Linked DNA regions of Notamacropus eugenii. The protein of the gene in region 1 interacts with the protein of each later gene in a pairwise test. Links are inferred from orthologs where the notes say so. Each region holds a gene or a part of one and is shown in the gene's direction. Other genes may lie near its edges. The genes, in order: AGTRAP, protein NKG7-like, COQ8A and ACSF2.

Region 1 (8,373 bases):
AATCACATCTCCAGACAGAGACAAAAAGCAACACTGGAGAAGAAAGCCCCAGATTTATGCAGATACACACACAAAGAGCCAAGTGTATCCCTGTATCCATGACCTGCAGAAATGAAACAACTGAGAGATAGAACAGTGATTGACTCATTGCCCCAGCATAATCTAAAGGCCAGGAGCTTAATCTCCCAGGTCGGGCTGTTCTGTTCTCATGGGTGTGATTGGCAGTGACTTCCCAGAATAGTTTGTTCTTTAGTTAGTGAGGCATTTGCATGGATTTATACCCTGAATAAAGGCCTTCCCAGGCAGAAGCCTGCTTATTGTCCTTGTTTTTTTTTTGTTTCATGTTACTTCTGCTTTAATGCTAATGGTTAAAATAACAAGAGCTAGCATCCATATAGCACTCTAACGTTTGCAAAGCTCTTTACAAATAGTATCTCATTTGAATCTCATAACAACTATGGGAGCTAAGTGCTATTAATATCCCCAGTTTACAAAAGAGGAAACTGAGTCAGTGATTTATCCAGTCACACAGCTAATGTGTCTGAAGCTGGATTTGAACTCAGGTGTTTCTGACTCCAGAACCAGCACTCTAACCACTATACCACCTAGCTGAACTATGTCATTCTGAGAACCAATAAAATCAAATCTTTCCATGTGGCCCAAATCTACTTTTCCAGCTTCAATTTCCAATGTACAGTCAAACAGAATTCATTCACTGGATAAGTATGCTTTCTTAGAACTTAAGAACTCCAGCTAAATCTAATCCAACATTCATTAATTAAACTAAAGCAGTCATCAAGGTAGTGAAGGAGCCAGTATGTTGTACTTGAAGTCAGGAAGATCTGAGTTCAAATCCTGTCTCAAATACTTCCTAGCTGTGTGACTTTGGGCAAGTCACTTGTAACCTTTGTCCATCTCAGTTCCCTCATCTGTAAAATGAGTGGATTGTAATAGCACCTCAAATAGTGGTCATACAGATCAAATGAGATAATATGTACATAAATATGTATATATATAAACTTATATGTATACATATGTAAAACATTTTGCACTATGAAAATTGCTAGCTATTATTAAGCCCCTATTGTGAAAGGAAAGAGAAAGATGATAGTTTGAGGGAATAGTAGATTGTAAGGGTTTTTTAAGACTTGGGGAGACCTGGGCATATTTGCAGGGAGCAGGGACGAAACCAGTAGATACAGATATTGAAGCTTCAAGAAACAGGGGATAATTGTGGGAACAATTTGCCAGAAGAGACAGGAGGGGACAGGAGCAAAAGTTTATACTGAAGGGTTAACTTTGACGAGAATTATCATGCTCTTTTCATTAAAGACTAGACTAACGGAGGAGAAATTGGCTATGATGACAAAAGATTTTGAGATGTAGAGAAAAGGGAAAGAGAGAACTCACATAGAGTGGCCTCTATTTTTCTCAGTAAAGCATAAGAGATCTGCTGACAAGGTAATGCGATGGACGGTAGAGGAAGCCTGAGGAGAAAAGAAATGGTCTGGAGACTTTGACAGAGAATGAATTAGCGTTTTAATAATTCATCTATGGCCTTAATAGCAAAGAAACAAATTTCTCTCTGCACCTTTGTGGATTTTTCTCTGAATTTTTTTCTTTGCCACAGGAAGGAAACTCAAAAGAATAAATCTAGCAGCACCCTCATTTTACCTAAGAGACAATGAGACAGTTAAGTTCTTATGGTAAAAAGCCTGTGGACTGGAAGTTCAGCATGTCAGCAAGGTGATATGGCTGCTCCCAAACCAAATTGGGTCATGGAGTTAGGACCAGAAGGGACCTCATCTAGTTCAAATCCTTCATTTTAGAAATGAGGACACTTGGGTCTCAGGAAAGTGAAGTTGGCTTGTCTAAGGTCATACCAAGAGCAAATGAAAGAGTCAGGGTTTGAACTGCAGACTTCTGATACTGTATCCAAGATGCTTCCCCTCCATAATATACAGACCTGATGAAACCTAGGGCTTTGGTAGCTACTGTAACAGTATCTAAAACAAAGGAGGCGTAGCCCTGCTCTGTTGTACACTCCTTACTTGATGAAGGAGATTGAATAAACTCCCATAATTCCAAGATAGATCCCAAGAACTCAGATCATTCTCCCCTCCTGCAAGTATGCACAAAATTCAGGAGTCTACTATTCAGGTCTATGTGTTTTCCAACCTTGAATTACCTCCAATTCTTTGTGCGTGGAGTTGATTTGTGACTCCCTCCCTATCATCCCCTTAACTCCCAGCTTACACTTCCAGCTGTAAATCTCTCCCAGAGAACTCAGTACTACATCCTCTGCCCCCTCTGGGAACATAATTTTACTTTCCCTGAATCCAGCTCGACTGGTTCTAACTTGCTGCCCCTCCTACGCTTCCAGCACCAGCATTAGCTGGTTGGGAATGAATATAGTATCAGTTCTTTGAACTAAACAGATCATCCCTTGTCCTTCATCCTGCTCTGGGTCTCGCCTCCCCCTTCCTAATCTAACACAACAAAGCCCTGGGTCCTTTTCTTACCTCAGGGTACAGAGGCCTGCTGGGTACTCTTATTATTTTACTCTTTTAACCTGTGGCCCATGAATTTTTTATCCCCACATATTCTCATGAACCTATCACTTTTTATGCTCTGGGATGATGATACAGACAAATGAGGATAAGAGTCTTGCCCCCTTTCACCCAGAAAGACCTAGATAGCATAAACAGGGTATGTAGAAATTTGTAGGCCCTCCCCATAAGTACAGCTGACATTTATAGAGAGAGATTGAAGAATCACCATGCTCTTTCTAAGCATTATCTTATTTAATCCTTATAACTGTCCTCAGCAGTAAGCACTACGTTTTACTGAAGAGAAAACAGGATCAGAGAGGTGAATTTGGTCTCACACATGGTCTCGCAGTCAGAAGTATCAGAGGTAGATTTAGAGCCCAGGTTTTCTTGACCCCACAATTAATACACTTTTCAATATATCTTGTCAAACAGTGAAAAAAGCAATTGACAAGCATTTGTTAAGGACCTGCTATGTGCTAGGTACTAGAAATAGAAAGGCAAAAATGAAACAGTCCTTGCTCTCCAGGAACTAACATTTTATTCAGGGAAATTTGTACAAAGAAAATTGAAAGGAGAGTGCTGACTCATTATCAGAAGATCAGAAAAGGCCTCATTTTTGAGGTTGATCTTGAAATCCCATAAATTGTTAGTACAGTGGAATCCTACCATGTGGGATTTAACCTAAATCCTACCTTAACAAGCTTATATGAGAGGTATTTAAATACCCCTTTCCCTTTAGATCTGCCATGTCTTTGACTGCACCACAAGGGTAGGGATGGCTGGGAGAGACAGGACCATAGAGATGAAGAAGCAATGGAATGAGGAAGAGGGATAGGGAAAAATAAACTATTCAGTTGTGCTTATATGATTTGTGGGTGCCACATGTCTGTAGGCTCCCAGAAAAGGGTTATCTTGCTTAATGAAGAGAATATTGGACTTGGAAGCAGAAAACCCCAATCCAAACCTCTTCTCTCCAACCATGACTAGCTGCATGACCAAAGATAATTCACTTTAACCTCTGAGCCTCAGTTTCCTCATCTGAAAAATGGATATAATACCTACAGTACTTCACTGGGTCATTGGGTGGAAAGTGCTTACAAACGTGTTGTTGTCTTGGAGAATTTACCCTTTTCAATATTTTAGTTTCAACCAGGACTGAATAATCTACTTGATTAAGGAGACTGAATAAACTCCCATAATTCCAAGACAGATCCCAAGGACTCAGACCATTCTCCCCTCCTGCGAGTATGCACAAAATTCAGGAGTCCTCCTTGAATTATTGGGGAAATGCTCATGTGTCTCCTGGATGAAGTTGACAGTATTCATCTCACAGTGAAAATTATCCTGACTCTCCCTCATGTGGGTAGGGAAAGGCAACCATGCCTTTTCACAACGCTCCCATAGTACAGCTGTGAGGGACAGAATGTGAGCCCAGTCAGGCATTTGTCCCATTCCCTAGCCTTCCAAAGCTGTGTTAGGCTTTCCTTCGGAAAAGCTGTTGCAGTTTTCCTTTCACATGGTATATATTTGACATGGTTTATTAGGAACTCTTTCAAAAGGATTCAGGGCACAGGAAGAAGGGCAGGGTTTTGGTTCTGATACGAACACAGTTCTCCTAGGGCTAGGTTTCTTAACATTTTGTGACACAGAGCCATCTCAGCCTGGTGAAACCTATGGCTCTCTTCCCAGGGGGAAAAACTTTAAATAACTGAATGCCAAATTTCAGTTCATTTGAAAATGCCAAAGACTTAGTGGTGAGAGAACCTCATTTTTGGAGTCTCCAGTAACTGTGGTTTGTGGAGGAGTTGGGGCCTTCCTTATCTACAGTGGCACCTGAAGGGTCTCATCTCATTGAGCCCTTCCCCTGGAGCAGGGTTGGGCCAGTGCTCTGGAGCTCTTGGACTCACCGGTCTATCCCTGGCATTTGTTGGACAGCTGTTACCTCTGGAGGTGGGCAGGGGATGCCGGTTGGCCCTTCTCCACCAGGGTTGCTCCCTACATGATGGCTGTAGTATACCAGAGGATGGCAGGGGACTTACAGATTCTTTTATCAGTCTTCCATCCCATACATGAACAACTGAGACAGATCAGGGAGGAAGGATGGGGGCGGGGGGCGGTTGGAGAATGCCCTTCCTCTTCTACAGGGTGATGGAAGGGCCTGCCTAGAACTTCTGGGCCTGGTGATCAGGGGGAGGAAGAGGGGCAGAAGACGACTTGCCCTAATTGGGTGCAGCAGGAGAGAGGGAGACAGACAGACAAAGACAGAAACACAGACACACACCCAGAGAGAACCACAGACGGACAGACGGACGCAGAGCTAGAGAGGGAGCATGCGTGCGTGGCCCGAGCCCGGGGCTAGGCCAGGGGGGAGCAGGGACAGAGCGCCCCTGGCCGCAGGGGGGGCAGACGCCCACCAGGGGGTGGCAGGTGTTGGGAAGGGAGGGGGCGCGGCTCCCCCAGACTCGCTCCTGCCCACAGCCCTTCGCCCTCTCTCCCGAGCCTCAGGGGTCCATCCTTAGGGCCAGGGGCGGCCCGAGATGAAGGGAGAACCTCAGGTGCGGGCCGGGCTCGGGGGCCTCCAGGCCATCCCTCCCTAGAGAAGTCTCCGCCCAATGTCGAGGCGGGGGGAGGGGCGGGGGGAAGGGCGGGGGGAGAGCTGGGCTCGCGCCGCCCGGCCGGAGGGGGAGGGGCGCAGCGCGGTGCAAGGTGACGCCGTCTCCTAGCAACCAGCCTCGGCTCGCGGTCACGTGCACAGGCCGTGGGTCAGGTGGCCAGGCCGCCCGAGCCGGACCTAGGGGGAGGAGGCGGGGCCGGGAAAGTTTGTTTCCCAACTTTCCGGGTAGAGTCCGATCATCCGCAGCCGCAGCCGCAGCCGCAGCCCCGCCGCCGCCCCCTTCTCCGCCGTCCGGTCCCGGCCCCGGCTTGGCCTGGGATGGAGCTGCCCGCCGTGAACCTCAAGGTAGGGCCGCGGGTGGAGCGGGGCGGGCCCGGGGACGGAGGCCCGAGAGGGACAAAGGGGTGCCCGGGGCGGAGGGGCGTGGAGGAGAAGAGGGGGCCGAGAGGAGGGAGAGGACGGGGACGGGAAGGGGCTGAGAGATCGACCGAACGGGGAAACTGAGGCCCGCCCGGGGTCACCGAGGCTGGGATGCCCGCAGCTGGGTCAGACCCGCTCCAAGTCGTGTGCCTTGCGAGCCAGGGAGGGCCACTGAGGAGAGAGGAGGCGGAGGGGGCATGGGGCCGGGAGGAGAGGGGAGCCCGGGGATCAAGGGGGGCAAGGGAGGGCCGCCGAGGAGAGAGGAGGCGGAGGGGGCGTGGGGCCGGGAGGAGAGGGGAGCCCGGGGATCAAGGGGGGCAAGGGAGGGCCGCCGAGGAGAGAGGAGGCGGAGGGGGCGTGGGGCCGGGAGGAGAGGGGAGCCCGGGGATCAAGGGGGGCAAGGGAGGGCCGCCGAGGAGAGAGGAGGCGGAGGGGGCGTGGGGCCGGGAGGAGAGGGGAGCCCGGGGATCAAGGGGGACAAGGGAGGCGCCTGGAGAAGTTATCCAGGCCTAGAAAACCGGCCCCACCTGAGCCTGGGGAGCATGTGCTCCAAGCGACACCCCCCCCCCCCCATCCAATCCGCCTGGGAGCATATAGATATAGATATCTATAGATAGATATATGTACACACGACCTCGCAGCATGTTTTACCCAGTTTACTGAAGACTGAAGAGCGAATGAGGAGGAGACGGCAGAAGTTTGGGGTGTCGCTTAAGAATTTGGCAGCTTTGGCATTCATTTGTACTTTGCTTTAAAAAAACTGTATAAGGTAAATTTTAGGGGAATTTGTAACCTGTGACAGGCTGCTTCTGGGTAAGTTTTCTTGCTGTCGCAGAAATCTTTAGTAAAACTTCCATCTTTTCTCTTCAAACATTCATGGTGTCAGAAAGTGGGATTTAAACCCTACACCTCCCTAAGGAGACCAGATTCATGAACCATCACATTTACGTATATATGTATGTGTATATATGTACATATGTATGTGTATATATATTTATCAAGGTGGATAAGCATGTTGAACTTGGAGTCAGAAAGATGTGTCCTGCCTCAAACACTAGCCTTGTGATCATGGGCAGGTCACTTAACTTCCCTGGACCTCAGTTAGGCCATCTGCAAAAATGGGTCCTGTGTATGAGGTGTAGCACCCACTTCCGGGCATTTGTTGTGAGTCTCAAAGAAGGTCATCTAGCTAAAGGGCTAGGTCATAGATTTGGAGTTGTTAGAACTAGGGACCAGGGATTAGAGGGAGGAGAGCTTTAGGAGGGAGAGAGGGGACCTGGAGCTGAGGGCAGGCTAACCAGGCCAGTTCCCTTATATCAGATAAAGGACAAGAAGGAGAGAGGATCAGGGAACTGAGGACAGGAGGGTTTTGAGGAAAGAGGGAGACAAAAGGGTAAAGGATGAGGAAGATGGAAGTCTTAGGGAATGTGGGGGCTGGAGAGGTGCGGAGACAGCAGGTGGGGTCTGAAAGAATGAGGACAAAGGGAGGAAGGGGGCCAGGGGATGGAAGTCTACGCTGGGGAGGGCTAAGGGCCTCCTTAGCAGGAGAGGAGATGGGGAGTGGGGCAGCTGGACAAGGCAGAGTTCTTAGGGGTGAGGGAACCTAGAAACTGAGGAGGAGGAAGCCCAGTGGGCAGATGGGAGAGAGTCCCTGGGAGTGAGGGGTAGAAAAGCTTAGAATGAGTTATGGGGGAGGGGGACAGCCTGGGGGAGGCAGGGTGTGGTTGGAGAGGAGGCCCTCAGGTTTTCCCTGACCAGCCCCCATTCCTGGGATACTTCTCCTCTCCATCTCCATCTTCTCCCTGGCTTCCTCCAAGACCCAGCTAACATTCCAGCATCTGGAGGAAGCCTTTCCCCATCCTGTCTCAGTCTAGCCCCTTCCCTGTGTTGACCCTCCCCACATGTCCTGGACTTAGCTCCTGAGCATGGAGGTTTGCATGTTATTTTAGATGTTAGGCTGCGAGCCCCTTGGCCAGGGCCTGGTGTTTTCCTTCCTTTGGATCTCCAATGCTTAGCCCAGTGCCTGGCACAGAGGAGGCCCTCACTATATGCTTGTTGACTGACTGCAGTGGAATCATGAGGGAGAGGAGGAATGGAGAATTAGGAGGGAAGTGATTGGGTGGAGGAGATAGAGTTGACAGAACTGAGAAACCAGGCTATGGGTTTCTATGGGAATAAGAAAGAGATCGACTGAATGGGGAAACTGAGCACAGAGCGGGTTAAACGGCTCACCCAGGGTCACCGAGGCTGGAAAATGCCTGCAGCTGGGCATATAGGATAAGGAAGAGCAGATGGGGTGGCTGAAAGGCTAAGGGACAAAAGGAAAACTGAGGAGCAGAGGGGGAACCAGGAGGGAAGCCATCAGGGGACAGAGGGATGCCATCCAGGTGCAGAGGGAGGAAGATTCTGGAGCTTAGCACCAGGCCTGGTACATGGCAGGCACTTAAATACTTGTTGACTTCTTGACGATTTGGATATAAGTGGAAGGACACAGATGGAGGGAAGAAGGAACTGAGACTACTGGAGGCTCGATGGGCTTGTTTAGAAAGAAAAGGGCTGAGTACCCTGTGATCACAGGCCTGGGTACTTGTCCTAGGCTCCTCTAACCTACAGACCTCCCATGGGGACTTTCTGAAGAAGAAGAAGGGCTGGGGATTGCAAAAAGGAGAGGACCCAGCCCATCCCAGCAACCCCACCACTCCCACCTCCCTGCAGCTCTGGCCAGGGAGAGCACTCTCCATTTCCAGGAGCCTTTGCTTTCACTGTCCAATTACTGCCCTGGTTACT
Region 2 (6,337 bases), about 26 Mb from region 1:
GGATGTGGGGGAAATGGGGGAAGGGAGAGAGGGAGCTGTGGAGGGGTAAGCAGAGAAAGCATTTGTAGAGTGGGCGGAAGTAAAGAGGAGGGGAGAGGGGATAGGTATGGACCGCCCAGGGGCAGCTAGCTGGTGCAGTAGACTGGAAGCTAGGAAGACCTGAGTTCAAATTTCACTTCAGGCGCTTACTAGCTGTGTAATCCTGAGGCAAGTCACTACCTTTCTAAGTGTTTCCCCATCTGTGAAACGGGGATTAATAGCACCTCCTCCCAGGGTTGTTGTGAGGATCATATGAGATATTTATAAACTGCTTTGCCAATTTAAAAGCACCATGTAAATACTATTATTATTTTATGAAGGGCAGATGGGAAAGAGAAAATAGGGAAGTGTGTTGAGGCAAGAGTATTAGTCATATAGTCTGAGGTGGAGGAACCAGACAAACAATAGTGATGGGGGAAGAGGAGAGAAGGAAAAGGGATATGGAGTGGTCATACTGAGTGGGCTAGATCTTGGGGTGGAGCATGGAGGCCAATGTAAGAAAATAAAGATCATGAGCCTCCTACTCCTGGGAGTACAGCTGGTACCTCTGCTTTCCCCAGGGTCCCTCATCTTCTATCATCATCTTCATCTCTCCAACTCTCTGATACATCCCTTGGAGAAGCAGTCACCTTCCCCAAACCCAATAATCTCACAGATTTATCCAGCTCCCCTGGTCTCCAAGCAACCTGACACCTTACAGACCCAAACATCAGTGTCTCCCAGAGCACTTGAGGTCTTCTGGGTCCCAAAGCCCCCAAAAGCTTCTTTACTTCCAGAGCTTTCTGAGAGTCCCCCAAAGCCCCAGAAATTTAGAGCCTCCTTTTCCCAGATGTCTAACAGATCCTGGGTCACTGAGCAGCCTTGGGTCTCCCAAAATTTAAAAACCTCCTCATACCCTTTGGGCTTTAGGGTTCAATCATTCTTTATGAGTACCTTAAATCACGACCACTCTGATAGTCAGAGTTCTTCTACTTCTACAAATGTCTAAAGTTTTGCTCCCAATATCTCAAAGACACCCACCCTCCACTACCCCCTCCCCATGGTCAGAATTCTCCTTCTGGATGGTAAAAAATATTGACTTTCAGGAACATTTCCCTGGTCCTGATGCTGTTGGAGGTGTTTCAATTTCCTCCTTTCCTACATCATAACTTCCCTTCTCCCAGCAAAGTAAGATTTGCCCTCTCTGTGAGATTTGTCTCCACCCCTTGGGGTCCTTGGAGAAAATGAGGGTGTAGACAGGAACCTGCATATTGAGTGTGGTGAAGCCAAGTTCAGCAGAAACGGAAAGCCGGAGAACAAGGAATATCAACGGAAGGATGAAGAGAGATGAATGTCAATTTCCCTAATGGAGTTGCTATCATTAAAGAAAGTTTGGGATTTCTTCCCCAACCCAGTATTGCATCATCATCTCAATGACCAACTTAATCCCATTTTGGTCCCTGTAATCCCCATCTCTAACCCCACTCCTCATCTGTACCCCCTCCTCCACCATCCCTATCTCTAAACCCACTAAGATCACTGATGTCCATCCCAACTCCGTTCCGAAATCCACTTATTTTAACCCCAACCCTAAACCCATCCTCTAGCCTTTCCCCCAACTTCAACTCCACCACCCTCCCCAGGCCACCTCCAAGTCACCCCACCCCTAAATCCATACCCATTCCCTATCTTTATCTTCACTCCTAACCCCAAGCTTCACTTCATCCCCCTTGGTCTGCCGTGAACTGGAGGGGGTGAAGATGTCAGTGGTGGGGTCGTGGAAAGTTCTATGGCAGTTGGGGTCCCTGAGTGGGTGGGGAAGATAAGAGAAGCCTGGGGAGGGGAAACTCAACTATTGTTCCCAGGGGAAAATCTGAGGGGACTAGGAGGGAACTGAAGGGATAAGGAATGAACTGAAGAGACTGGGAGGAACCTGATGGGAGAAGAGAAGAGATCAAGAACTAAAAAGATGGAAAATAACTGTGGAGGACAGTGAGACATCTGAATGAAAGCAGAGGGGTCGGCAGAAATTAAGGGAAACTGGGGTCAAACATTAGGGACTGGAGAAAGCAAAGCAGGACAAGGCCAGGCTCCCAGAACAAGCCTGGGCTAGGCTTTGCCTTCCTTGTACTCCAAAGCCTTTCAGCCTTCAGGAGAAAATGAAGAAACGGGAATGGAATTCACTCAGCCACTCTGCGGGCCTGGTGACCTTCAAAGTGGCCCTAAACACCCTCTGCTTTATGCTTCTCCTTCTCACCGTGTTCTTGCCCTACTGGCTGAAGATTCAAGTGTCTCATACCCATTTCTACCTGGGCCTATGGAAGCCCTGTGGGGATAAAATGTGTGAGGATATTCAGAAGTCAGGTACATGGGGATAAGGAGAAGGAAGGACAGAAAGTGGGGATGAGCATACGGAAGGAGGTAGTGAATATGTATGGGGAAGGGATAAATATGGAGGCTAGAGAAGGTGAACATGGGGCTAAAGATAGAGGATAGGGGAAAAGGGGATCTCCAAGTCTACTGAACCTGATTTAAGCTTGGTGTCCATTAGAAGGTTTCTTCTTGTGGGTGGGTATGTAGTCACAAGAAACTGATCTTGGGGACCTAGGGCTGTGTGTGTGTGTGTGTGTGTGTGTGTGTGTGTGTGTGTGTGTGCGTGCGTGTGCATGTGTGTGTGATTAGCCATTACTATCACTGCCTTTCTCCAGTCTTAATTAAGGTAGTCCAAGTGCTGATGGGCATGGCCATTGTAACAGGCTTCCTGGCTTTTCTGGACATCTTCCTGATATTGATCAATGTAGTGAATGATAGAACATTCTTCTACATTTTCTCTGCCCTGTGTAGCTTTGTCACTGGTAAGAAATCTAGACTCCAAGGATCCCTATAGGGCTTGGTCAGGAGGTGATGGGAGACTGGACACTTGCTGTTCGGGGGTGATGACACCATCTAATTCTTCCTGCAGCCTTACTGTGCCTTGTTGGCCAGAGCATCTTCATGGTCAGCATGCACGTAATATCTATCCATAGCACCAATCACTTTTTCTTCGAATGGGTCTTCTATCTAGGCTGGGGTACTTCCACACTGTACCTCCTGAGTGGTGAGTTGGTGATAGGGGCTGAAAAGGGCCGGGGATAGGGATAGTATTGGGAAGGGAGAACGAGATAAGGGTGAGGCTGGAGATGAGCATGGGAATGCGGATGGGGTATGGGTGAGGTGGGTTTGGAGAAGGGGATGAGAATGGGAAGTAAGAGGCCTCCCTTCTCAAAGGCTCTCTGACACTGGTGAGGAGGCACTCCAAAAAGGTGAAGCCAAGAAGCAGAATTACAACCACGTCAACCCAAGAACCCAAGTCAACCATGAGCTGAAGGCTGCTTTTCTGGGCTGGACCTGGGCAGGGGTGTGTGTGAGTGTGTGTGAGTGTGTGTGTGAGAGAGTGTGTGTGTGTGTGTGTGTGTGTGTGTGTGTGTATGTGTGTGTGTAAAGCCTCTCAGGTCTTGGCTCTGAGCTTGTCTCTGCAGACCCCTTTCATCCATTCTAACATTTTTGTTTTCAGGACCTCTTCCTCTTTGTTGTCACTCTTCCCCTCAGAATCCCCTTGGCTCTACACTCTGTGTATGCTCGGGGAGGAAGGAGGAAATAGTGTCCTGAAGCAGTGTCTAAGCCACCCCAGATTTCCAGCTAAGAAATCATTTGTATAAACCAAAACAGTGAATAACCAAGTAAACAGATAAACATAGAGTCTGACCAGTGGCATCTTTGGGAAATGAACGGAACCTTTGGTTGGCATCCTAGACATGTCATGTCCCAAAGCCATGAAGTCTCCAGGATCTCAACCTCCTCAGCTCCTTGGGATCTTACAATACCTTTGGCCCCAGGAGTCCTAGTTCCCAAGTTCCCCACTGTGTATCTGTTCCACATTGCCTTAGGCTTCCCAGTGCCAAGCCCTTTGGGGAGCCAAGTGCCTGCCTCCAGCCTCTATTCTCTTCAGGGATCTAGTCACACCATCCCCTTCCCAGAACAGAATCTTAGTGAGTCAGCTTTACCAAGCCATTGTTACTAGCCACATCCCCTCCTCCCCACATCCTGGTGAGTACCACTGTGTGTGTGTGTGTGTGTGTGTGTGTGTGTGTGGGTGTTCGCATGCTCTAGAGTAACTTCATACCACCGCCAGGATACTTCCTCCTCTTTCAGGCAACAGGAGGGAGAAGCCTCTCCCCCTAATATCCCATAGAATCCTCACTACCTGGTGTTATGTCAGCCTTACTTGTCTTTCCCTACACCCAGCCCTGACCAGCCCCACACAGACCACAGTGACTTCAGGGCTTGAGAAAAGGAGTATAAAGATGGTCTGCGTCATCAATCTGGTGTGAAATCCCCCACCGCTTCCCTTTCCGGGACCCACATTTGGAGCCCCCAACCTATTGCTCGCTTGGCCAGGTGTCAGTCCCCTCCCAGGCCCCTGAAACCCAAGCATTTGACTTCCAGTCCTCTGTAACTTCTCAGTCCCCAGGTACACCAGTAAGAATTTCTAGGAATTCAGGCTGCCCCCCAAATTCTCCCTACCCTGCTTACAAGATCCCAGCTCTCTGTTCTTCTCTGGCTTCCACTGCCCAAGGACCCAGGTGACTGGCCTTCCAGCTACTGCCCACTTCTAAGAAGGCACCCTTAGTTCCTGAGGACCTGGGTCAAGAATGCACCTCCGTTGGGTGCTTGCCCTGCTCTCTGAGAGCCTTGCTCTGACCCTCCTGCTAGTTGCACTGAGTACTGATAACTGGATCACAGCTGTAGGCCCTAAACACCAGGCCCACTCTGGCCTCTGGCATCCGGATAAGGATTCTGTGAAAGGTAAGAGGGCAGCCCCTGGGATTTGCTCACCTTGGAACATCCAGTTTGGGCTGAGCTGCTAGCACCCATATTGCAGATTTCATCCAGGCCACCCGGGCCTTCATCATCCTGGCTGCACTGGCGGGTCTGCTGTCTATCTCCTGTCTGATCCTCGTCATCACTTCATCTCTCTTCACCTTCAGCCTCAGTCACCTGGCCTCTTTGATTTCTTGCATCACAGCCTTTGCTGCAGGTAAGACTCATGGCAGGGGAAGGAGAGAAGCTGAGTGGGGAGAATTGGCAGATTGGAGAAGAGAGAAGGGCCTCACAGCTTCCATTCACAGCCCTCTGCAACACTGTGGGAATGGCTGTCTACACTGGAGAGCGATGGAATGAGCCAAGTGATTCTCAGATTCAGACCACCTTTGGCTGGTCCTTCTACATGGGATGGATTTCTGTCATCCTCTTCTTTTTTACTGGTGAGTGGGGGAAGTGAGGTATGGGGAATGTGTGGAGGACTAGAGGCCTCCTGTCCCAGGAAGAGAGACAGATTGACCAAAGTGGCCCTTACCTCTTGAGCCTCTAGAGAAGCCCCAGATCAGGACGGAGAACATGGCAGGAATGGGGTGGGGAGGGGTACATGATGAGACCTGGGGGCTTCTGGAGAGGGGATCAAAATGAATCTTCTCTGAAGCCTGCCTCTCTTTACCACAACAGGAGTCCTGAGTCTTGCTGTACACCATCCCAACTATGAGACCTTAGCTTGAGAAAGCGGTCCTAGATTCACTGAATAAATCAAAAGTTGCCCATCGGGTTGATTTGTGTCTCATTACTCCCAGAACTAACCCTGAGTCCCCACTCTGCTTGGCTCTCTGAACCCTGCATCTCTGTCTCCTTTCCCCTTCCATCTCTCACCCTCTCCCAGTAACACTCCTCCCAACCACACATCCTTTCCCACTCTCCCTTGACTCCTTGCCCTCTAGAACACTGTTATCTAGTGTCCCATGAATACCCACCTTCCAGTGCCACCCAGCCTTTCACCTTCTCTCCATCTCCTAGCCTCTGCTTCTAGTCAGTTTTCCAGTCATCCATCCTCCCAATTTCCCAGTACTCCCTATGTCCTAGTCTTCCCCCAATGTTGTTGATGCCAACACACCTCTTCCAGTCTTCCCCAGATACCCTTTTTTCTCCACCATCACTCATCCTGTTTCATAGTGTCCCCCCATCATCTCCTTTCCCTTCTGTCTGTCCTCTTCATCGTTCCATTCTCCCCATCTCTCCTCCCAGTTTCTCAGGCTACTGTTTCCAAAGTTCTCCCTATTCCATTTCTCCAGCCTTCCCCTTCTTTTGTCTCTGCTCCCAGAACCCTCTTGTTCCCCTCCTTCTCTCCTCCCAACCAGGAGTCCTTGCGTCCAACCTCCTTCTGTCCTGATGATGATCTAGGATGAAATTCCTCAAGGAATGGGATGTGTGTGTGTGTCCCTTTAATGAGATG
Region 3 (8,050 bases), on another chromosome or scaffold:
CGCAGCTCCACCAACAATGAATTAGTGTTCCAACTCTCCCACATCCTCTCCAGCATTTATCATTTTCTTGTTCCGTCATGTTTGCCAATCTTATAGGTGTGATGTGGTACCTCAGAGTTGTTTTGATTTGCATCTCTCCAATCAATAGTGATTTAGAGCATTTTTTCATATGATTATAGATATTTTTAATTTCTTCTTCTGAAAATTGCCTGTTCATATCCTTTGACCATTTATCAATTGGGGGATAATATTATATTTTAAAACTAAGTCAATGTGCAGCCAACGTGCAGCAGGGATCTTTAAATATCAAGGATTCTCAGGCTTCCATTTCTATTTGAGTCTGCACCGTTGGAATAGAGCCTTTAAAGTTACCCATGCTTCTACATAGTCTTGTTTTTTTGGAATAAGCAATAAGAAAAATGCAGTGGGAGACAAATACAATGAATGAAATGATCATGTGGGACAGAATGGAAGAAGAACCAGGAGAGAGGAATGTCACCAAAGCCAAGAGGGGAGATGCTCAGATGACCCTGGAGGAGAAAATGATGACTTTGAACAGCCTGGCTTCACTTAAATCCAGTTCACCTGCAAGTCAAGACATCACTTCCACTGAAGTCACTGGTCCTTTTTGGGAACAGAATAAAGGGCAAACAACAAGACACAGAGGAGAGACTGTATCCAGGAGGAGAAGGTGGTCAAATGGAGTCAAATGGAGAAGAAAGGTCAAGAAAGATGAGGACTGAGGAAAAAAAATCAACTTTGTCAACGAAGAGAATTTTGGGAAGATTGGAGACAGCAGTTTCCAAAACAGTCTGAGGTTGAAAGCCAGGTTGATAAGGGTTAATAAGGAAGAGAGAGGAGAGGGAAGGAAATGCTGGCAGTGAGTATAAATAACTGATAAGTAAATATCTAAAGTTTGAATGAGAAAGAGAAGAGAAATAAATGACAATAACTAGAGGGCCTAATGAAAGTTTTTTTAAGGGAAGACTAAGGCATGTTTAAAGTTAGTAGAAAAGAAACCAAGAGGAGCAGTAGGGAGAGCGTGAGGATTAGAGAATGAGAGGGGATGATTGGTTGTTCTCATATAGATTTTATATAGATCAAAAAGTAGACATGTGGCTCAGTTGTTATTAATGCTCTCTCAGTTACCTTTTGAGGGTCTATTTTCATTTATTTAGTTAGTTTTACTATTCTTTTGTATCCCTAGCACTTAGCACAGTGCATGACACTTAGTGTTTCTTGATTGTTTGCCTGCTACTTCTTTAAATATCTTTGGTTTAAATGAGTTGTGACCTCTGGCTGACTACAAGGAAAACAAATACATTTGTGGGGGCTTATGAGCTATCATTTTGTATGGATATGGACCTACACAGTGTCTTGGAGCTGGGGTAGCTATTCTGGATGTTGTATCTGGGAAAGGGCGATGCCCCTGGTGCCAGGCTATTTCCATCATCAGTGACAGAGGAACATTTGGTCCTTGGAACCTTGATATCTGATGGGTTACTCAGAAGTAGAGACGGCCCTTAGGAAGAATACTTGAATCAAACATAGTACATGCCAAAGAAGTTGGTGCTGGAACTGATGAAATCCTAAAAGCAAGAAAGACTACTTTACCAGACTGCTCAGCAACTGAATGTTCCAGACAAATTGGGCTAATCTTTGTCTCCTCGTTCTGTTTGCTTCTGTCTCTATCCAGGTCTTGATTTTACCATTCATAACCTTGTGTACAAGTCATTTAAACTTTCTGAACCTCAGTTTCCTCATCCATAAAATGTTTTGTGCTATTCCACAGGTGTGTCATGCAGAAAGCTTTTTGTAAACTGGATTGCCATTTATTCGTTCAATATGAGCTATCAGAACATTGGACTTGGCAATCCAAAGAACTTGGGTTTGAATGCCAGTTCTGATAAAATGAGCTGGCTGTGAATTCTGAAGAAAAAACAGAAAACAGAGCTTGTTCATGGGTTATGCTGAGATGTTCCCAGGTTCAGACCACTAAATTATTACTTTTGTGCTTATCATTTCCCATCGTACTGGGGATTACTCTTATGTTATTAGGTTTGGCAGTCCATCAAGTCCCAGCCTGGGTTGGACTTTCCTCAGGGCTTAGTCAGTGGATGGCTGAGTAGGCTATACCCTTAGCCCTCAAAGATGTGATCTGTTTATGTTGGGTTTTCAAAATTCAATATTCCAGAAGGGGGTTGCTCTTGGAGGAAATGAACCATCTTTTTGTGCATTGGCCCTGGTGCCTGCTAAATTCTGAAACTGGTGCTGCCTGCTCGGTCTGTCTACATCTAGATTTGCTTATCACACACTCAAAACAAAAATGAAAATGGTGTTAGTTCCTCACTCTTCAGATTTTATAGTATGCATAACACTAGAGCTGGAAGAATAACTACTGAAGTCCTCTAGTCAAACTCCCTCATTTATAAAGAGGAAATGACAATGCAAAAAAGCTAACCAGAATTAAGATCATAGGATCACAGTATTCAGAGGCAGTTACATGGCTGGATACTGGATAAAGTACAAAGCTGCCTGACCTGGAGTCAGAAAGATCTGAGTTCAAATCCTGCCTCACATATTAGCTGACCAAGTCTCTTCACCTCTCTCAGACTCAGTTTCCTATCTGTAAAATGAGGATAATAGCACCCTCTAGAGTTATTGTGAGGACAAAATAAAAATATTTGTAAAGTACCTTTGCAAACTTTAAAGTGCTTATATAAGTGCCAATTATTATTATTACTATCTTCATTATTGTTTAGAGCTTAAAGGGACCTTAGAGGTGAAGATGACATCACCCGTTAATGGCAGAACTAGCACTGAAACCTAAGTCTTTTTAATGTGAGTGTTCCTCCAATGACATTATGAAGAAGACAGAAATGGCACAATCCTGACCACTGAACCAACTTTTGGAGATGTTCAGGAGCTTAAAAAAAGATCCTGTGTATATAGTAATAATAACTCACTTGTTACTAACCTTTCAAGATTTGCAAAGCCTAACTCCTGGTTTCTCTGGCTTTTTTCAAATCTCAGCTAAAATCTTTTATAGAAATTTTGCCTTTTATTTTCCTGATCCCCCTTAATGGTAGTACCTTCTCTCTGCTGATTACTTCCTATTTGTCTTGTATAAAGCCTGCTTTGTATTTATTTTTGGCATTTTGTCTCCTCCATTATATTGTGAACTCCTTGCAGTAGAAACTGTCTTTTGTCTTTCTTCGTATCCTAGGCACTTGGTTCAACGCCTGTCACTTAGAAGGCAGCAGATAATGCTTACTGACTCACTGACAGCTACCAAGTGAGGCAGATCCATCTACGCCTGCTATCTCTCCTCCTGGGGGTGAGTCCCTGCCCAGCTAGCCCTCTAAAAGTAGTTAACTTGAAAGGTTTCCAGCTAGTGGGCAGGACCTTCCAGGGATTGTACAAGAGAATTTCAATGACACCGATATTTGTGTGAGGTCTAGAATCCAGGGTCACCTCTACACCACGGTAACTCAATGAGGTAGGCCTTTGGTGGAGTGTAACCACCGCACATGCGTTTGTTACTTAAACACATTGAGAACACAATTCACACACACTCTTTCAGGCGTTTTCGGATGTGCCTAATGCCAGCCTCTTAATAGTCATCGCCCTCCACCAGTTAATGAGGGGGCACTGGGAGAGAAGCAGTAGTCACTCTCAATTCAGGTTGGTGGGTGGGGTGGAGCACCTGTGAACCCCAGGGCTCCTCCTAGGACGCAGCCCCCTCAGTCTGAAGCAGGTCACTCTCCCCACGTCACACCGCTACTCGGGCCGGTGTCCCTTCATCCCTGACGGGCCCGGAGTCCTTACAGACCTGCTTACTTGGTGCAGGCGACGGAGTTCTGAGGCTGAGCAAGGGAAGGGGATAGAGGAAGTCAACAGCGAACAAGGAGGCTGTTTATTCCTCCCCTCTGCTGCCATCTGAAATGCTCTCCCTCCCCTTCTCCTTGGGGCAGCTAGGGGATAAAGTGGACGGAACAAGCGGCTTGGAAACAGGAAGACATCTTCAGGAGTTCACATCTGGCCGCGTAACCCTCTTTGTCTCAGTTTCCTCCTCTGTAAAATGGTCCGGGGCACCCCACAGGGGGTCCTGAAAACAGCCACAACCCCCTCGGCTCCATCTTCTGGCCTGCGAAGGGTCGCTTCCAGGGGCAGGGGCCACGTGCCCGACACTGAATGGATACACGCATCCTGTCCTCCCCATCCCGGCCCGCTGGGCCGTCACTCCGGGCTTGGAACAGCCTGTTTCCAAGGGAAGAGTCTTGGGCCAAGGCCCTTCGCATCACTTTTTGTGCTTTGATGTTTAGGAAGAACGACCCCATCGGGGGTCAAACAGCACCCACAAGATGAGGAGAGGGAATGAGACCCAAGGCTGGTAGGACAAGCGGCGGCCGGCTGTTCGCGGCTCTCACACGGGCCAGCCAACAGTTAACGAGCACCTCCGGGCCGGGCGCTGGACGAGGCGCCCGCACACGAGCAAGGGCCCAGGACGGCTCCCGCCCCGAAGGGGGGCGCCATCTAACAAGGAGGACCACGTGGAAACAACTGCGCGCAGAGGGGCGAGCTGGAGAGAGCGTGACGGGCCCTCAGGAAGGGCTTCGTGCACCGGGCGGCCTCTGAGCTGGGGCTGGAGGAAGGCGCGGGGGCGGCCCCGGAGAAGCAGCCACGAGTGGAGCAGAACGTAAGGCTGAAAGGCTGGGGGCCGCGGAGGGAGGGCAGGGTTGGACTGCAGGCTGGGGGGTACGCTGAATGCGGTGGGGGATGGGGAGGAGAGAAAGGGCGGGCAGTGGAGAGAGGCCCAGCTGCGGCTCCCCGGGAGTGGCCCGAGTCTTTTTCATTTCCCCCCCCTTGCCTGAGGCCAGGCCCTGAGGGGGGTCTGGCGACCATGGCCGCTAGCACCATTTCCCGCGGGGACGAGCAAGCCACAGGCCTTAGGCAGAGTGAGAAATGCCCCGCCCCCCAGCCCTTGCACCAAGCAAACGGCCTACCCAGATTTACAGACCGAAGAGGGAGCAGGGAGGTGGGAGGAGCAATGAGCGTGGGGGAGGGGCTGGGAGCGGCCCAAGAAGAGCTGCCTCCCATTGGTCTAGCGTCTCTCCGTTCTCGCTCCCGATTGGCCCAGGCGTCAGGAGCCCCGGCGCGGCGCACGGTTCGCGACTCAGGGCTCGAAGGGGTCCTCTAAGCTCCGGCTTGTAAGGCTGCCCGGGCCCACGTTCCGAAGGAGGAAGCGGCGCAACCAATCGGAGCGACCGCGGGGGGCGGTGCTTAGGCCGCCCCAGGGCCTCGCGCGGCGCGGCTGGAGAGTTGGTAAACATACCTCGAGCGCGTGCCGGACCGCAGCGCTGAGCGGGAGGTGCGCGGCTGCAGGAGGCGGAGGCGGAGGCGGGCTGCTGACCCACCTCCCCAATCCCAGGTAAGGCGGCAGCCCCACGCACTTGCTGCATGCATGGAGAGCCCCCGCCGCAGCCTCCGCGCCCTCCCGCCCCCTCGGACCTCAGCACCCGGCGGTCCCTGTGGATCCCGTCCGCCGGAGCGGAGCGCGGCCGGCAGGGTCCGGGCTCCGAGCCCCAGCCCTGGAGCGCGCTGCCGCCCCAGCCGGTGGGCGAGCCCCGGCGCGGCTCGTTCCTGCCCCGCACCCCTGTTTGCCTTTTCCGAGTCCTGATTCTTGAGCGCGCTGGCCCCGGGCCCAAGGGCTAGTTCTGACCTTCAGTGCCTGCAGAGAGGTGAAGCCCAGCCCGGGTGGGGTTAGCCCGGGAGGACGGGGCGCTTCGGGGGGAAGAGGTGTCCGCGCGGCTGCGGGAGCTGCCCTCCACGCGCCAGCCGTGCCCACGCCTCATCCACGCCTCCACGCCCAACTTTGCCGGCCATTGGGCAGAGTCCCGTGCCGCCCTGCCCGGACGCCTGGCGGTTGGCACTCCTCGCCCTTGGAGGTTTAGGTGTAGACTTAGGCTGGCCTTGTGTTGCCTTTGGCCCATCCTCTGCCAGGTCCCAGGATGTGGGATTGGGAGAATCCTGGCCCTGAGGCTTGAGAGTTGTGTGAAGTCTGGGCAGAATGCGGAGCCTCTTAGCCTGGGCAGTGGAAATGCTTGACCTGCCTGCCCACGGGGTCTAGTGGGGAAACCATGCCTCGAGGGCTTTCTAAATAGGTGTTCCTGAACGCTTGTTTGTTTTTTGGAGGCCTTGCTCTATCCACTGGGATACCCAGCTGCCCCCTAAATTCGTGATTGAAGCACTGGCAAAGGGTGACTGTCAGGGCTTCTTTCTGGCCAGAGGACTTGAAAATGCCAAGCTGCTGGTTGTCATGCTGTAAAAGGACAGGCTGAGCTGGCAGGGGCTTGAAAGACTGACTCGGAGTGTGGCAGGAATGTCCCTTTGGAGACAAATCACTCCTTATGGGTTGAACCAAGAGCCTGGAACACTTAAGCTAAGTCTTAAGAAATGAGGGGAAAAATGAACAGTAGACAGTTATTTTTACTATTGACATAACCTTCCTTGTGTATCCTGCAAGAGAAGTGAGAAGGTTGGCTGTCTTTGCACCCACTTAGGATCATAGATTATAGATGGAAGGGATTTCATCTACTCCAGTGCTGCTTAATCTTTTCTTGGGTGTCATGGATCTCTTGGGCAGTCTGGTGAAGCCTATAGATCAACTTTCTCAGACTATGATTTTAGATATTTAACATTTTAAATGTTTAAAATAAATTTCATAGCGAAAAAAGGAAACCAATTACGTCTAAATAGTTATCAGATTTTTTTTTTTAAAGTTCATGGAACTCAGGTTAGCTACCCCTATTGTAGTCCATTTTTCTTACCTTACAAAAGAGGAAGCTTAGCTCCAGAGGATTTAATTGACTTGGCTGTGGTACACAAGTAGTAAGTGGAGGAGCTGGGATTTGAATCCAGGTACCCTGATTCCCCAATCCACTGCTCTTTCTTCTGTCATGCTATTCTACTTTACAATCCTTTTTATTTCTTTTTTATTAAGTAAATGTTTTATTGATGCTCTTTTTAGAAATAAATTTATTTAGTTTTAAACATTCACTTTTATAAGATTTTGAGTTCTAAATTTCCTACCCTCCTATTTCCCCAAGACAGCAAGCAATTTGATACAAGCTATACATGTACAGTCATATTAAACATATTTCCATATTACTCATGTTGTGAAAGAAAAATCAGAACAGAAGGGAAAAACTGCAAGAAAGAAAAAAACAGAGAGAGAAAAAGTATGCTTTGATCTGCATTCATACTCCATACTTTTTTCTCTGGATGTGGATAGCATTTTCCATCATGAGTCTTTTGGAATTGTCTTAGATCATTGCATTGGTGAGAAGACCTATCTATCAAAGCTGGTCATCCAACAGAATTGCTGTTACTGTGTACAATGTTCTGGTTCTGCTGTCTTCATTAAGTTCATGTAAATCTTCAGGTTTTTCTGAAATCTGCCTGCTCATCATTTCTTAGTGCATAGTAGTATTCCATTAGATTCACATACCACAACTTGTTCAACCATTCCCCAGTTAAGCATCCCCTCAATTTCCAGTCCTCGACCACCACAAAAAGAGCTGCTATAAATATTTTTGTACATGTGGGTCCTTTTCCCTTTTTTGCAATTTCTTTGGCATATAAACCTAGAAGTGGTATTACTGGGTCAAAGGGTATGTATGCACAGTTTTATAGGCCTTTGGGTGTAGTTCCAAATTGCTCTCCAGAAGAGTTGGATCGGTTCACAACTCTACCAATAATGCATTAGTGTTCCAGTTTTCCCAAATCTCCAACATTTATCATTTTCCTGTTTTGTCATGTTAGTCAGTCTGATAGGTGTCATGTAATACTTCATAGTTGTTAATTTGCATTTCTGTAATCAGTCACAATGGTTTTTCTCAAGCCTTCAACCTTTTCTAGGAGTAGTGGAGGCCTGCAGAAGAGAATGAAAGATAAGAGGATTAGGTGTTGTCTTCTGCAGTCTGGAAATGTCTGGAAAGTGCCCTTGGGGGGGACTCCAGGCTTAGGTTGCAACTGTGACTTTGCATCT
Region 4 (7,932 bases), on another chromosome or scaffold:
GGTTCAGTGTCCCGGTGTATGGCTGGATGGGATGTGAAACATGGTCTGCCATAAACTAGATATATAATGGGTTTGGTAGGTTTTTCCCCTCACCAACCCCTCATTCAAGACAGAACCCCCAAACTAAGTGAAATAACTCCTTTAAGGTAGGGGTAAGAGTAAGGAAGAGGGGAAATTAGAGTTGATGAACACAGTTCCGCTGCTTGGAAAATTAAGATATGACCTCTCTTCTGGAAAAAACAACTCAGAGACTTCTAACCTAGAGGGAAGGTAGGATGCTGATAGAGAAGATAACCAGCTGAAAAAACAGGAGAGCACAGAGCCTTGGGATGAGACAGAGGAGGGACAAAAAGAAAGATTTATACTGTTCTTTCTTTTGTTTCTTTGTCTCTAACAACATCTGCTCCTCCCCTGCTCTGGCCCTGGGATCTGAGAGTTTGCCTAATCATGGTGGTGAGCCCAGGTGAGTCCATCCATTGCATGAGTATCTATTGCTGTTTCTTTCTTCCCTCCTACTTTAGGATCCTGGTGAACCCTCTCCCAATGGTCTAGCTGGTTTTTCCATCCATTTCCAAGATCAGAAAGCAAAACAGCAAGGGCCTGATTCTCGAACCTGAGCTCAAACTCCAAGTTTCTTCGCACTATTTTGCTACTCTCTGACCCTGGCAAAGGATTTTAAAAAGGAACAAAGGTCATTAAAGGAAGGGCCCATATGGGATGGGTTTCTTTTGCAATGGCACATAAAATCATATTAGGGAAGGTCCTAGTAGACAAATTATTTCACCTGTCATCACTCTTTGAAATTTCTCATGTTGGTGGAGTAAGGTTTGCTGTAGAGGGACAGGATCAAGGGCTAGAGATTCTGACACTTAGATATGATTTCCTCTTTCTCTGGGACCAAGCTAGGGACTCTTTCTTGCTAGGCCAAGACCTAACTTCTGCCCTAACACCTCAGAGTTACAGCTTGGGGCAAAAGAAAGACCTTTGGTCTCCAACCTGCCCACCCCACCTGAGATAGTGAGTTGTGGTAATAACAGTATTAGCTTTGCATACTATTTTTCCCTTCCTTCCTTCCTTCCTTCCTTCCTTCCTTCCTTCCTTCCTTCCTTCCTTCCCTCCTTTCCTCCCTCCTTCCTTCCTTTTTTTGTTTGACTCTTCTTGCACAAAATGACTAATATTCAAATGTTTTCCATTATTGCACTTGTGTAATTTATATCAGATTTCTTACTATCTCAGGAAAGATAGAGGGAAGGAAAGAAGGGATAGAATTTGGAACTCAAAACTTAAAAAATCCCAATGAGTATTAAAAATTGTTGTTTCATGTAATTGGGGGAAAAGAGTATTTAGAAAAATCAATCAAAAGAAATTCAGCTTTAGGGTCAGAGAACCTGGATTTTAATCTGTGCACTGTAATTTCAATACCAGATGGGGAAAGGATTAAAGACAGAATTTATCTATTTCACAGTTTTGTCTGGGGCCAGCCCTGGTGTGGTAGGTAACAACTCAGTCTAGCAAACAGAAGCTAAACTTACAATTTCATTCACCTCCTGCTATGGGCCAGGATATCCGTAGAACTGGGGAGGGGTGAGGACAGCTGTAGGCCTATCTTATGAGAAGACTATAAAAAACAGTTTTAGCACTTTGCCAGTGAACTCATACAACTTCAGGGAATCCCCTTGTTGATTGTTTTAAACATCTTGAGGGCGGATTTTTTCTTCCCAAAATGCTTTGTAACTGCCTTGTGAACTGAAACTGCCTTCTGAAAGCAGAAATAATATAACTTTAGTAAAAAGGTTGTTTGTCTGAACCTTCAGGCTCTGAGTGATCCATTGCACTAAACAGGAAGAAAACAGAAACAGCTAGAACCTTCCCTGAATAGACAGAAAGGGAAAAGAAACAAGGCAATAGAATTCTCCCTCTCCCCTAGATAACAAAAAGGGTGACTTGCAAGGTTTGAGTGAGGTACCTCAAGAGCCATGCTGCCTACTAGTGAGGCACACTTAAAGAAGGTGCTAAACTGGCATAAAGGGTGGTTACAGAAAATGGGATCATAGTTCTAGAACTTGGAGAGAATTGGGCCACCTTGTCCCAACCTTTTCGTTTTATGGATGAAGAAAGTGAAGTCCAGAAGATGGTAAGGGTCAGAGCAGGCTTCAAACTCAAGTCCCCTGACCCCAGAATCAGTGCTCTTTCCACTGTACCCTAAAGGCAAACAATAACCATATTGCATAATGTGTATAATTTACTTTGTTGTTATTCAGGTGTGTCCCATTCTTCATGACTCCATTTGGTGTTTTCTTGGCAGAGATACTGATGAGGGCTGGAAAGGGGGTGTGAGACCTCCACAAAGACCAGGGTACCAGAGTCAGGTCATCCGGAGAAGAATTCATGAATTCAAGCATTGTTGAAATCAAGGTAAAGATTTATTACACTTTTCAGTGGGTAAGAGTTCTTAGGAAACCTGCAACCTTAGAGGGGTACAGAGCAAGTTTATACTGGATATTCTATAGTATCACTTGTGCCAAATAAGCTAACTAGGTGTTTTGGGGTGGAATTAAGGAGTGGTTAAGGAGTGACAAAATCTGGGTCCAGATATAGATCAGGACAACTGGAGATGGCCCAAGATGCAATGGGAGACCTTGGTCATTTAAGTTAAGGTCTTTCCCAGGTCTCAGTTTGACTGAGGCAGAGGCCACTCAGTGATTAATGCTAGGTAAGAAGTGAGGCAAAGAATGGTCTCTTCGTCTAGTAAAAAAAAAAAAAAAAAATCCAGGGGGGGAATACCCTCAGGGTTTCTGACCAAAACAGAAAGAGTGACTATTATATCCACTCTGAGACAATCTGAGTCCAAACAATGACTCTTACCTTTGGGTGTTTTGCCCAAAGGAATGTAAATTTTGATCCCTGAAGGACCACGCCTTAAGCCCAAATCACCATGAGCTGGAGAAGGACACGGCAAACCACTCTAGTATCCTTGCCCAGAAAACCCCAAATGGGGTCACAAAGAGTTGAACAACAAATTTGAACAACAAAAAGAATCCTCCTGCATGCTAATTGCTTCTGGTGAAAAAAAAAATTGGTCATATCTCTTCCTACTTGGGAAGGGAGTTGGGAGGGGGGAGGTCAAGTGCTTGATTAGACTGGGCACCTATAAGAAAAAAAGGATGGAAGTAGGTTGACTTCATAGGCAAGTCATTTAATCTCTCTGGGCCTCAGTTTTCCCACCTGTAAAATGGCAAGGAAATGTCTTTCCAAACTGAGTCCAAGATCCTGTGATCTCTGGGAAGGAAATGTTGACATCTTTCTTCCAGGTGGCTACCACTTCACAGAAGTTGGGGCTTGAAGACTATATTATGTAGAGCAGATATTTGGTCATATACCAATCAGTCAGTCAGTCAATGAGCATTTATTAAGTACTTATTGTGACAGTTTTGTGCTAAGCTTCAGGCATTCAGAAGGAGGAAAAAACAGTCTCTGGTCTCAAGGAGCTCACATTCTATTGGAACCAGTTAGACTAGACAGTCTCTAAAGTTCTTTTCAATTATGAGATTCTAGGATTCTATATCAGTTCACAAGAGACCTTTTGTTGTCTCATTTTGTAAAATGAGAAGGTAGGATGAGCTAATCCCTGAAGTCCTTTCTGGCTCTAACTTCTTTTATCCTTTGGTCCTCCACCTTGCTCATGCCTAGGACATCTTTAAGATCTTCCAAGTGTAATAAAAATCCAGGATTTTATAATTCTCTAACTTGAGAATCCAGGTAGATAGGTGGGGATTAATGTGAAATGAAAAGTGAGCATCACCTCTGTGGCCCCAGGGCTCAGTCCAGAATTAGCCCAGTCCCGTAAACTTGGATCTTTTCTGGCTACAGTAGTAAATGTTAACAAAGAGCCCTGATCTGAGAAGAGAGCTTTCTCTACCAGTGGACTTCCTAGACAGAAATCTCAATAACTTTAAATGAATGTTTTATTGATGTTCTTTATTTCCACACACACATATCATTGGCACTTCCCAATTACTCCTCCTTTCCGCCACAGAACCTTTTCTTGGAACAAATTAGTACACAAGCAAAATGAACTGTCACGTTGTCGGTGTTGGAAAGTGAGTGCCCCATTTCTCACCTGTAGTCCACCATCTCTTAGGCTAGTGACCAGAGGCATGATTCGACAACAGCACTCCAAAATTATTGTTCTTAGTACAGGGTTTAGCGCTGGAAGGGAATGATTTATGACGGACTGCTTGTGGTGGGCGGAGGCAGGGACGGTTAGGGACGGTTCAGAAGCAGAAGTCACACACCTGGAACCTAGAGGAGCGCGCAGACTTCTCACTAACCACTTCTCTTCTCTCCTACACTTGTTTTTTCTTTTCTTTGCATCCCCAGAGTTTGGTCCGGTGCTCAGCATACAGAAAGCATTTGGCAATGTTTGCTGAATGACCTGAACTGGCCAGTGAAGAGAGTTCCCTTCTCCCTCTCCAATTCCGGATTAAGAAGGGAGCAAAAGGAAAGGTCCCGTCCCAGTCACCTATAAAACCAACGTGAACTCTACCAATTCCTGAAGGGATCCCCATGACAGACCTCCCGCCTCCTGCCAAGCTACACTCTCCTCAGCAGTATAGAAGATGAGTTGCCCGGATCTAGAAGTCTTGGGGGCTGAGTAGGGAGGCGGGGTGACTGGGAGACACGCCCTCGCTCCGCCCCCGCTCCAGTCCTGGGGTGCCGCCATAGGCTGGGCACCCCCCCTCCCCCCTTCCTCGCCATTTCTCTCCTCCCCTCTTCTCCTCATCTTCCCCTCTCTCCCCCCCGCCCCCCCCCCCAGACTCCAGTTGCCTTGAAAGTTTAGTCGCTGGGCTGGGCTAGGGGTGCTGACTCTAACAGACCATGGCTGTCTCATTTGGGGTGCGACAGTTGGGGCGGTTGCCAACCGGGGTGATGGGGGTATTGGGGGTTCGTTCAACTTTAGTGCCTGTCCGGGGCTGGCGGAGAGCGGAGTTCCAGGAAATCCGCCTGCTCAGGTACTGGGAGCTGGGGGTGGGGAGGGCGGTGTTGGGATGACTTGGAATGTAGGAGCTAGATACTCCAGGGGGCACTTAGGGTCGCTCCAACCCATGGTGGGGTGCTCTGCGATCCCGTCGGGATGTTCTACCCTCTGGTCCAAGAGTGTTCTGGAGCTGACATCCCCCCCAACCTCTCTGTGCCCAAAGTCCGGAGTTTCTTACTCCCCTTCTCTTCTCTTCTCCCTTGTTTTCTTCCCTTTTCCATTCTGGCCAGGGCTGCTGAGCTCTCTGCCTGACCTGCCTGTTTTCTGATTGGAGTTAGAGCAACTATCCCTTTGGGGCCCCAGGGGATTAGGACCCTCTGTAGCCTGCTAAGATCCTCAAGGCCTGAGGTGGAAGTGGGAGAAGGAAAGGAGTCATTCCTTCCCCTGGGCTCTCCCCAATCAACAGCCTTGGGTTCTTGTATCTTCGGTGGTAAAACCCACTTTAGGGGAGTTCTCTTTCATCACAATTTTACACATCTTCAGATAATGCGGATGGGGTTTAGGGTATTAAGTGGAGTGAAACGGGAATGACTTCACAATTGTGACCTCACAAATGTTGAATGTGCAGAACTCTTCCTGATTTCTTGCTTCTCACTGATTTCTTCTTCATTCCCCCTTGGTCTGAGGTCAAGATCCTTTTTGGTGGGGGTCAACTTCTGAGCACTGGGGATGTTGTTCAGGAGTTAGACATTATGATATTTACTTCATGGATGTTCATTAATCATCTCAGGCCTTCAAGTGGGAGCCCACGGTAGGCTCAGTGGGTACTGACTGAGACTCTGGGTCCCATCGTTGCTACAAGTACAACTGGGAGGGGGAGGGGGAGATATACAGAGAGAGTGAAAGTGAGAGAGAGACAGACAGAGAGAGGGAGACAGAGAGAGAGAATTTAAGTACTTAAATATGTGAGAATTACTGTTTTAAGTGCTAGAAATACAAACACAAGCAAATAAGATAGTCCTACCTATAAGTAGTTTACTCTCTGATGGGGGAAGACCACACATAAAGGGGATGAGGGGCGGGTATCCAGGAAGGAGGTAAGGCTCGCTTGCTGTCTTACAAGTTGGAGAAGGTCAGGAAGTGAAGTCAGTCTGGCATGAAATATGCATGGCTATGGACCTTCATGAAATGGTGGTCAGGCCTAAAGACTCACTAGTTAGGAGAACAGGCCTCAGGGAGACCTTGTGGACTATGGAAGAAGGTGGAGCAAGGCTCTCTATATCATTGACTGATTTCAGAGGTGAAGAAAAGAGTAGGAGGATGCTAGGTCTGAAACTTAATTGGATAAAGAAAATAAGAGATAAAATAAGGCAAAATCAGTTTGGACAGCTGTGCTACATGGATACACAAAAGTCTGAAGCTGCCTACAAGAGTCACATTTGGAGAAAGAAGCAAGCAAATCTGCCACTGAAAGTATTCTCAGAGGCTTAATGATTGACCACTTGTTTCTGATTCATGCACAAGGACTGACTCAAGACCTCTGAAGTATATTCCAAGCAATGGTGGATTTAGGCATGAGTTAAGTAAGCTACAGACTAGGGCAAGTGTGTTTTACATGTCTTGTATGCCTTGGGCAGTCTGGTGAAGTCTATGGACCCCTTCTCAGGATATGTTTTTAAATGCATAAATAAAATGCATAAGATTGCAAAGGAAACCAATTACACTGAAATACATTTGTCAAATATTTCTACAAAATTAACAAGTTCACAATCTGCAAGTTTAAAATAAGTTTAGTCACCAGGGTAAGAACCTAAGAATTGGGATCTCATATTACTTCCAGTGTGGCTCAGAGGAAAGAATACTGAATTTGAAGTCAGGGAATCTCTGTTCAGATTCTGGCTTTACTATCTATTCCCTGTAAGATCTTGACCAAGTCACTGGGCCTCAGTTTCCTCATCTCTAAAATGAGCAGGTTGGACTAGACAACTTCTAAAGCTATGATCCAATGATGATGAGGGACATCTACATTTGAGACACATTTATTGAGGGTTCATTGTACTAGGGACCAGAAAATAAGGGTAAAGGTGGCACAATCTGCTCTCAAGGCTGAAGAAGAACACACACACACACACACACACACACACACACACACACACAAATAAATAAATATTATAAGCACATGGAATAATTTCAAAAGGAAGAACCAGGACAGCTAGGTGGCATAGTGAATAGGGAACAGAGCAGGACTTGAGCTCAAATCCAGTCTCAGACACTTGACACTTACTGGCAGTATGACTGTGGGCAAGTCACTTAACCCCAACTGCCTTGCCTTCCCCCATCCCCAAAAAAGGAAGAGAGCAGTAAAAATGGGTATCAGGAAGGAGAGGAGAATCAGCAAAGGTATAAGATAGCCCCTGATCAGTGATTAATTAACTCCTCATAATTCCAGTGCTTTAACTGTTAATTATTTCCTATTTATTCTGTCTATAGCTTGCCTCTATGTTTGTTTATGTTGTCTCCTGTATGTTGTTTATATGAATCTCCTCGAGGACAGGAACTGTCTTTTGTTTCTTTTTGTATCCCCCAGTGTTTAGCATGGTGCCTGGCACATAGTAGGTAATTAATAAATGTTGGTTGATTGATGGATGGATGGAAACTGATGATTCTAGGGGGTTTGAGGTAAGAAGGAAGTACAATTTATCTATTACTAACCAGATGTGGTTTTTTTATTAATGCAATTGATCTTGCATAAGTTGCTTCATCTGCATGCCAAAAAATGCTTTACAATAATGAGATTTTGTAATGATCGTATTTGTTTTTTTGTGCTCTTTTTTTTAAATAGAAGGCCTCTAAATCTTGACCTAGTGTAAGACCTTCAGCTATGTTCATCTCATTGAGTTTCCAATTCCATTGTGTTCCAGTAGTCTCTGATTCTTAGGTTAAATTAAAACCTG

The links.
Region 2: the proteins of AGTRAP (region 1) and protein NKG7-like interact in binary tests that used the Homo sapiens proteins (3 or more experiments, as listed by UniProt). The two-hybrid records come from large-scale screens. The link is inferred for Notamacropus eugenii from reciprocal best matches to the Homo sapiens genes AGTRAP and NKG7.
Region 3: the proteins of AGTRAP (region 1) and COQ8A interact in binary tests that used the Homo sapiens proteins (3 or more experiments, as listed by UniProt). The two-hybrid records come from large-scale screens. The link is inferred for Notamacropus eugenii from reciprocal best matches to the Homo sapiens genes AGTRAP and COQ8A.
Region 4: the proteins of AGTRAP (region 1) and ACSF2 interact in binary tests that used the Homo sapiens proteins (3 or more experiments, as listed by UniProt). The two-hybrid records come from large-scale screens. The link is inferred for Notamacropus eugenii from reciprocal best matches to the Homo sapiens genes AGTRAP and ACSF2.

What each region holds. Positions count from the first base shown.
Region 1 is NC_092876.1:51,143,494-51,151,866, forward strand, and holds the start of AGTRAP (type-1 angiotensin II receptor-associated protein), read left to right. Parts: upstream 1-5,271; 5' UTR 5,272-5,484; coding exon 5,485-5,511; intron 5,512-8,373. UniProt on the Homo sapiens protein: Appears to be a negative regulator of type-1 angiotensin II receptor-mediated signaling by regulating receptor internalization as well as mechanism of receptor desensitization such as phosphorylation.
Region 2 is NC_092876.1:24,737,585-24,743,921, reverse strand, and holds protein NKG7-like, read left to right. Parts: upstream 1-4,463; 5' UTR 4,464-4,709; coding exon 4,710-4,863; intron 4,864-4,893; exon of another isoform or gene 4,894-4,939; coding exon 4,940-5,095; exon of another isoform or gene 5,096-5,125; intron 5,126-5,186; coding exon 5,187-5,321; intron 5,322-5,559; coding exon 5,560-5,609; 3' UTR 5,610-5,651; downstream 5,652-6,337. Other genes in the region: uncharacterized protein, read left to right, coding at 600-1,027.
Region 3 is NC_092873.1:409,108,444-409,116,493, reverse strand, and holds the start of COQ8A (atypical kinase COQ8A, mitochondrial), read left to right. Parts: upstream 1-4,524; 5' UTR 4,525-4,699; intron 4,700-5,336; exon of another isoform or gene 5,337-5,431; intron 5,432-8,050. UniProt on the Homo sapiens protein: Atypical kinase involved in the biosynthesis of coenzyme Q, also named ubiquinone, an essential lipid-soluble electron transporter for aerobic cellular respiration.
Region 4 is NC_092873.1:360,429,836-360,437,767, forward strand, and holds the start of ACSF2 (medium-chain acyl-CoA ligase ACSF2, mitochondrial), read left to right. Parts: upstream 1-4,646; 5' UTR 4,647-4,878; coding exon 4,879-5,012; intron 5,013-5,757; exon of another isoform or gene 5,758-5,845; intron 5,846-7,932. UniProt on the Homo sapiens protein: Acyl-CoA synthases catalyze the initial reaction in fatty acid metabolism, by forming a thioester with CoA. Has some preference toward medium-chain substrates. Plays a role in adipocyte differentiation.